Linked DNA regions of Rhinolophus ferrumequinum. The protein of the gene in region 1 binds, or shares a complex with, the protein of each later gene. Links are inferred from orthologs where the notes say so. Each region holds a gene or a part of one and is shown on either strand. Other genes may lie near its edges.

What was found.
Region 2: BICD2 (region 1) and BICDL1 share a complex: the UniProt entries of both Homo sapiens proteins name them as parts of the tripartite complex. The link is inferred for Rhinolophus ferrumequinum from reciprocal best matches to the Homo sapiens genes BICD2 and BICDL1.

Annotation. Positions count from the first base shown.
Region 1 is NC_046295.1:742,520-746,428, forward strand, and holds the start of BICD2 (protein bicaudal D homolog 2), read right to left. Parts: upstream 2,893-3,909; 5' UTR 2,659-2,892; coding exon 2,419-2,658; intron 1-2,418. UniProt on the Homo sapiens protein: Acts as an adapter protein linking the dynein motor complex to various cargos and converts dynein from a non-processive to a highly processive motor in the presence of dynactin.
Region 2 is NC_046308.1:12,849,651-12,853,559, reverse strand, and holds the start of BICDL1 (BICD family-like cargo adapter 1), read right to left. Parts: upstream 2,801-3,909; 5' UTR 2,758-2,800; coding exon 2,329-2,757; intron 1-2,328. UniProt on the Homo sapiens protein: Acts as an adapter protein linking the dynein motor complex to various cargos and converts dynein from a non-processive to a highly processive motor in the presence of dynactin.

The DNA.
Region 1 (3,909 bases):
TGGTTTTTAAAATACAAGTTAATATTTTCAGGTATGACACTGGCCAAAACTAAAGAGGTTGACAGAGCTTGTGCTGGCATGGGTGTGAGTGAACTGGTGCAAGCTTTCTACCGTGTTTCCCCGAAAATAAGACCTAGCCGGACCATCAGCTCTAATGCATCTCTTGGAGCAAAAATTAATATAAGAACTGGTCTTATTTTAATATAAGACCAGGTGTCATATAACATAATATAGTATAGTATAATATACTATAATACAATGTAATGTAACATAATAAGAGACCAGGTCTTAGATTAATTTTGCTCCGAAAGACGCATTAAAGCTGCTAGTCCGGCTAGGTCTTATTTTCGGGGAAACACAGTAGTAACATCACTGAGACTGATGCACCTTCCTCTGGCTTCTGCCACAACGGGGGGAAACTGAAGTTCAGGACACAGGGCCACGTGCCCAAGGCCAAATACCAGTGTGTGCAAGAGCCAGGAGGTGACAACAAACTAAGCAAGCAGGTGCCTGAAGAACACCTGCAGAGACTGACACACCTGCCTCTCAATTCCTCCGGGACCCGCCGTCTAGACACACCCCAGTAAGCAGAGCCAAGATTCTTGCATTGGCCAAAATGTTTGTGTCCAATAGAAACGAGCTGACAACCGAAAGGTCCCTTAGTGAGAACTACTTCCCTCTGGGACAGTAGGTCTGGTCTGTTCTTAGAGCGGACACGAACGTGAGCTTGTGAACACAGAAGGGGGCTATGAGTGCTGTGGGGAGGTAGGATTGGGGGGGTCTCCCCAGGGAGACCAGAATGGGGCTGAAGGTGCTCCCACTCCATACTCTCACAGTCTCCTGGCCTCCCTCCATCATGGTGCAGCGCCCCCCGCCCCCCCACACACCAAGATGGGGCCCTTGCAGGAGGAGCCACATATCACCTCTCTTGTCTAGATCCAGTACCAGCCAAGCGGGCTCAGAGGAGGCCCCAATACCTGCTGACAGGTGACAGGACCGAGGATCAGATGCGCCGCCACCTGCCTCCCCCAACCCGCACATGCTCTTCACTGCTGCTTCCCCTGCACACCTGCTCGGCCAGGCATGGATTTAAGCGTTAGCGTGGATTCATTCATTCTCTCCTCCCCACTTCAAAAGACGAGTCTACTGGTGTCCCCAGTGGGGCAGGGAGGCTCTGAACAGTCTGGACACCTGCCTGAGGCCTCTGGGAGCGTTGGTGCCAGGAGATGGGCAGTGGGGAAAACACCTAGCACGGTGCATCCCAGAACCAAGGGCCAAGAGGCCACCAGGACGAGGAAGAGTCAGCGGGGCAAGGGGCACACTGTCAGGCAGCGCACCTGACACCGTGCCCCTCCTTTTCAAGTATATGCCCCTCAAAACAACCCTTTTGGGTGGGCAATGCTGCAGAGGGAGAAGTTAAGGCCCCTGTCCACAGCCACGTCACCAGCAAGGGGGTAGAGCCTGAGTCCAAACCTGGGTGTCCCACTAGAAGGAAACGTCTCCCTCTCCGCCCCCCACAACAGGGCTAGAGAAGTCAGCAAGGACTGGGAGAAAAGCGGTGTTTAAACCATTAAGGAGAACTACTTCTTGGAAGGACTGTCCAGCTGTCCTGCTGCTAGGCTCTCAGGCAGCCTGATGGTCCCACCCCTTATCCCGGAGTGAAAACTGCACAGGAGACACAAGGCTCCCTCTGTGACAAATGCCCACAGACCTGTCACCAGTCTGCAGGGAAGGGTCTGGGAGGGCGGCCAGGACAGGAAGTGGGCGGGAAAAGCACTGCATCCCAGATAAGTGACTGGGAGTGGGGGTGGGTATGGTCAGAGAGCTGTGCCTGGGACAACAGGGGACCCCCAACCTGCAGCAATAACGGCCACATGCAAGGCACGCCCCTTTCCCAGCCCTTTTCTGGCCTCGGGGAACGCACTGGAACTACTGAAGACTGCTGCGCCCAGAGAGAAGTGATCTGCCTGGAGATGATGCAGGACCAGGCCTGGCTTTTCCCTGCATCCATCTCACGCCCCCATCCCCCTCACCCGGGAAGCCAAACGCCGCAAAGAACTCCACCCCACCGTGCTCGAGGCCTGCCACCAGGAGCAGGCAGACCGGCGACAGGACCCCACCGCAGACCTGGCCGGAGAAGGCCCGGGTTCTCTTGCACGCGCGCCGCCACCACACCTGGGGACCGCGTCTCCCTCCCTGGGGCGGAACCGAAGGGGGCGCAGCGACTCCAGGCCAGCTGTGCACGCCGACCCTGGACTCCCTGGGGCTGCTCGGCTAGGTGGTCGGCTCAGCCCAGCGTCGGGGGTCCGTTCGAGGGTCGGCCAGGCCCGGGTGAGGGGTCGGATCAGGGGTCAGGGCCGGGCGCGGCGCGAGCCGGGGACGCCAGAGGGCGTGGCGGCGGCCGCCCACGCTCCTCACCTCCTTGAGCTGCTCCATCTCGCTACGGATGGCTTCGTAGTCCACCTCCAGCTCTTCGAACTGCAGCTTGAGTTGGTGCTTCTCCTCGAGCACCGCCAGACCATATTCGGCCGCCTGGATCTTCTCGCGCGTGGTCTCGGCCAGCTCGTGCGACAGTCGCTTCACCTCGGCGCGCAACCACTCGGGCTGCGCCTCCATCACCAGCCGCGCGTACTCCTCCTCCTCGGACGGTGCCGACATGGTGGCCGTAGCCCGGCTCGCGTCGCTTCCACCGGGGTTCAGGCCGGAATCCCATCCGCTTAGCCACCGCCCAGCCCGACGGCGCCTGGGCCGCCGCGCAGCCGCAATGCGCTCCCCGCCGCGCGGGGCACTATGGGTGCGGTAGTCCCGCCCGCGGGACTACAAGGCCCGTTGTGCCACGGGCCCGCCCGCCCCAAACGGTGATTGGCCGGGTCCCACGCCGGTCGACCGTACCAATGCCATCGCCTCGGCCGCCACCGCCCAGAGCGTTGTGGTTGCCGTAGTCCCGCCCGTGCGCCAACTACAAGTCTCGTCATGCCCTGCGCCCGCCCACCCCCGATCATGATAGGCCGTTGCGGAGCCGGAAGCACTGGTATTTTCCGGGTCCCCATCCCTGGGCCGGTGAGGCGGAAAACCCGCGGTGGACGCACGTGTACCGGGAGTGCCGAGAGCCGGCCTCGCGTCCGTACCGGCCCACCTGGGGCGCCCCAGCTTCTGGGGGACTGTAACGCAGCACATGTTGAGTGGGAGAAATGGTCAAGCTCGCTGTTTGAAGTTTCTAGTAAAACGGACGACCAGACAGGCATTTTGAGGGAAATGCAGCGTTCAAAAGCACGCTGATTGAGACCTGCTAGCTCAAGGGGCGCCTTCGCCCCCCACTTAGTTTCGAAATGCTCCGACGTGTTTCCTAAGAATTCGACCTTTCCATGTGCAATCCAGTGATCCGATTCAGGACGGCCGACTCTGACGCCGCCCTCAGTAGCCACGGTTCCAGTTCTTGGACCGAGCCCTGGATCACGCCTCGTAAGGACGTTGTCTCCTTCTTCTCCATCTGGGAGACTTTCTCCCTCTGTCTTTTTGACCTTGACTTACGGAGGCTGCTGGACAGAGATGTGCACACCGGTGTATGTGTCCCCATGGTTAGATTGGGGTGTGCGCTTTGGCAGGAATATCCCGAGGCGGTGCAGAGTCTCAGCACGCAATTGCATCACTCAGGTCGCCACTGGGTTTTGCTTTTTACCCTGTGAGAAGGGTGACTCAGGATGGCCAGACTCAGAACCCCCAAACCCACCCTCCATGCCTTCATGTGGGACTGGCCTGAGGAGGGAGAGGGGAAAGGCTATGGGAATATGGGGCAGGTATTGACCATGGAGCTTTGAACTTGGGGACAGGGTGGTGGAAGGGGAACAGGCAGGGACTTTTCTAGGTGCTGACAGAGGACCTAGCACTGCCACTGTGGGCTTCCTGCAG
Region 2 (3,909 bases), on another chromosome or scaffold:
AATTTTGCACCCATCTGAATAGCGTGATGACCTCTCAAACCCTCCCACTCTGTCCTGCCTGGGAAGTGAATCATACCTTTGTCCAGAGTATCCACCCTGTATACTATGCTCCCTGCCAGTTAGTCACTTGGTAGCCCTCTGGGTTAGCAGATCATCTGTCGCTGTATTGCAGTGCTTGTGTTCAAGTCACCCTTATTTTACTTAATCGTGGCTCCCAAGTGCAAGAGTAGTAATGCTGGCAATTCAGATATGCCAGAGAAGCTGTAAAGTATTTACTGTAAGTGAAAGATGAAAGTTCTCAACTTAATTCTTTTATTATTAATTATTTTTGTTAATCTCTTACTGTGCCCAATTTATAAATTAAACTTTAACACAGGTACGTATGTATAGGAAAAAAACACAGTATATATAGAGTTCAGTGTTATCTGCCATTTCAGGCGTCCACTGGGGGTCTTGGAATGTATCCCCCTTGGATAAGGGGGGATTATGGTATACATAGCATAACATTTACCATCTTAACCATTTTTAAGTGTACAGTTCAGTAGTGTTAAGTACATTCACACTGTTGTGCAACCAACCTCCAGATATTTAAACTTTTAGTACTAGAGGTCATATGCTGACCTACAGGAGTAAAGATTTTTAAAAAACAATGTAAGAGCTTTAAACTATTTTATTATCGTCTATCAAGTCAATAACAAAAAGTCATAGGTAAATTATTCTTTTTACAATAGAACCTTTCTTGTTATAGAATTTTGAAATTTTTCCTTTGTTAAAGAAATGTATAATGGCTCCCTCCACATGGAACCCAGGATGTGTGTAATTGCACACTCAGGATTACTCTGAAATCTATCACTAATCAAACTGACTGATATGATGTTCCTTTCAAGTCTGTTGTCTCTTCAATCAGGTCCCTCACTGAAGGAATTTCAAATCACAAGTATAAATCTCTGCAGTAGTACTTCTATAGAGTCATGTAATCGAATCTCTTTTAAAAAGAGACACCCTTTTATTTCTAGACCTCTACTTCAAGTGAAAATTAAACAATCCAATTCATTGGGTTGCTTTTTGGCAGTCTACCTATAGGTTTCACAAACCACTTTTCAGAGAGGTATCTCAGGAGTTCATCGACTGGCAGACCTAGTTAACAGGCCAACTGAACTACAGGGCACTCACTGGTTTCCTTTTTTCTCCCTGATTTACTTTTGATATGTTGTTGGACTACAGACACACTTAAATCTTATTTTAGAAAAGTTTCTGAATCTACATTCTGACTGTTCAACAGTAGTAGTGATACGGAACCAGACTAGGGTCAATTTCAGATCCTATTCAGGACTGTACTATTCTCTTGTAACTAATAAAAAAAAAGTGGTTGCAACCAAAGTGGGGAACAATAGTAAATGCACAGACAGAAAAAGATAAGCTTGTCTCCACTGCCACAGATGCTGCCTCCTTTTTAAATTTGATTTTTTAGAAATGGTGGTGTTCCACACTACTTTCAAGACTCTTTTCTAGCTAGTTAAGGGCAAGAAAACAAACAGGCATAGCTCTGAAAGACTTTGGCAGAAATCTTGCACACACTTTAAGGGGTATTTATAACAATAATTGAAGTAATTATTTTTAGGGTTTTCCTAGGTTGCATTAACTGTGCAGTTGCATATGTGAGACCCAGAACGGTACTGGTTAAATACACATAAAAATACTGAGGTCCAAATTAAATCCACTACCAAAGGTCACATGTTGAGCACAGGTTTGCCTGACTGCGACGGAACCACATTTCCTAATCCCTGAGTATTTGAAGGCTATATAAAGCTCCTTTAGGGGCACTTGTTTCCCACAAGTCTGAGCCGCCGGGAAGTTAAGACAAGGGCATCTGGAGGCCTTAACGCCAAAACTGGAAAGCTTTATGCTAACACCCTGATTAGAGATTAACTACTCTGAAAACGTGAACATATTTTAAATGCTTCCCTGTTCTCATTTCTCTGTGAGACATCACCTCAGTGCTGTATAAATTAGTCATACTGTAAGCTCTATTTTAGATGCTGTGTACAGTACATACATAGAACTGCCCACAGCGGTTGGACCTGTGCATGCGCCCATTTGTTGTGAGCGGGGTGGGAAAGTCGGGTGTATTCAAGGGATGCCCTGGTCTGATAATCCGAAACCCTCCATCCTATGCCCACTTCCACGCGGTTTTCTGTGAGGTAGGGTGAGCTAGGAAAGGGTGGAGTGGAATGGGTTGAGTGAGTGGCTCCAGAAGCTGCCCAGGGCCGGCCGGGAGGGTGCCCGGGCTCCCCTGCTTCCCACCCAACCCAGGAGGGACGTGCTCACCTCCAGTTTGTCTGTCAGCTCCTTGTGCATCTGTTCGTACTGCCGGCTCATGTCCTGGTTCCTCTCGAGCAGCGCCTTGCCCAGCCGGGCGGCCAACACCAGATCCTTCTCCTTCTGCCGGATCACCGACAGCAGCTCCCTGTCCTGGGCAGGCGGCGGTTGCAGTCCGGCCCCCTCGGCCGGAGACTCGGGCTCGGCCGAAGGATGCTCCCCGGGGTCGGACGGCCGTTCCCCGGCCGCCAGCAGCGCTAGCTCCTCCTCTAACGCCAGTTCCAGCTCCCCGGGACTCCCGGGGAAGGAGACAAGGGCGGCGGCGGCGGGACTCCCGACTGCGTCCGCGGCCGCGGCTGGCAGCTCCATGCAGCAGGCGCTGTCCGGCTCGGCGGGTGCTGAAGTGCGGCCGGCCAAGCCCAGGCAGAAGGCGGACATGGCCCGCGCGCGCGGAGCCCGCAGCGGTGCGGCCCGGCCGGCGCGCGCCAGGCTGCAGGGGGGAGGGGCCCCGCCGCGCCGCCCCGCGCCTCGCGCCGCGGCACGCGTCCCCCGGGTCCCCGCGAGCCCTGGGCGCGGCGCGCGCCTGCCCGCCCCTCCCCCGCGTCGGCGGCACGCGCCCCCTCCCCCGCCCCCGGGCTCAGCTGCTCAGCGCGCGCTGGGGAGAAGGGGGGGCGGCAAAGGGAAGGCTCAGGAAGGGAAGACTGAGGGGCCGCGAAGCGGGAGGGGAGATTGCGGGGAGGGCCGCCGCCGCCGCCGCCGGGTTTTCAGCCGCCCTGTTGCTGCTGCTGCCGCTGCCGCCGCCGGCCGGGCAGCGCCTCACGGGGCGGGATGCGCCTCGCTGTCGCTGCGACGCTTGCTGCTGCTGCTGCTGCCGGCGGCCGCTCTCTGCAGCCGCGCTCCATGTCCCTCGGCTCGGCGGCAGCCCCAGCAGCAGCGGCGGTGGCGGCGGCTGCTGCAGGCGCCGAGGCGGCGACTCCACATCGCGCACCGCGCAGCCCGGCGAACTCCTTCCTGCCTTCCTTGGCTCCTCCCGCTCACCCGGCGAGCCGCACCCCGCCCCGGGCTTCCGGCCGCACCCCCTCTCCCCGCCCCTGCCGACGCTTGACGCGCGCGGGCACCTGTTCGCCGCGCCCGCGCGGGATTCGCCGGCTCGTGGGTCTCCTCAGCGGCGCCCAGGTGGCGCCGCAGCCTTAACCCCTGCGCAGCCTCTCGGACTGTGGCGGTTACGCGCGCCGCCTGTGGAGGCGGCTGGCTCATCTCGAAGGGTCCAAGCTGCTCCCCCGCGCGACCACGCCCCCGGCCTCACGGCCACCTCAGGGTGTGGCCCCGCCCCCAGCACTGTCGCCTCAGGGTGTGGCCTAGCTCTCACCTCAGAGAACCGCCCCGCCGCAGTGTCATTCTCACTTCGGAGCCCGGCCCCCAGCCTTGTTCCCATCTCGGGGAGCAGCACCGCCCCCAGCCTCGTTCTCACCTCTGGGCACCGCCGGGTCCTCGGCCTCCCTCTCGCTTCTGGTTTGTGGCTTTTCTCAGAGTCTGGTGGGGCTCAGTTTTGTCGCCGCCTTTTTTCGTGGTCTCCAAGGGGACTGGGGA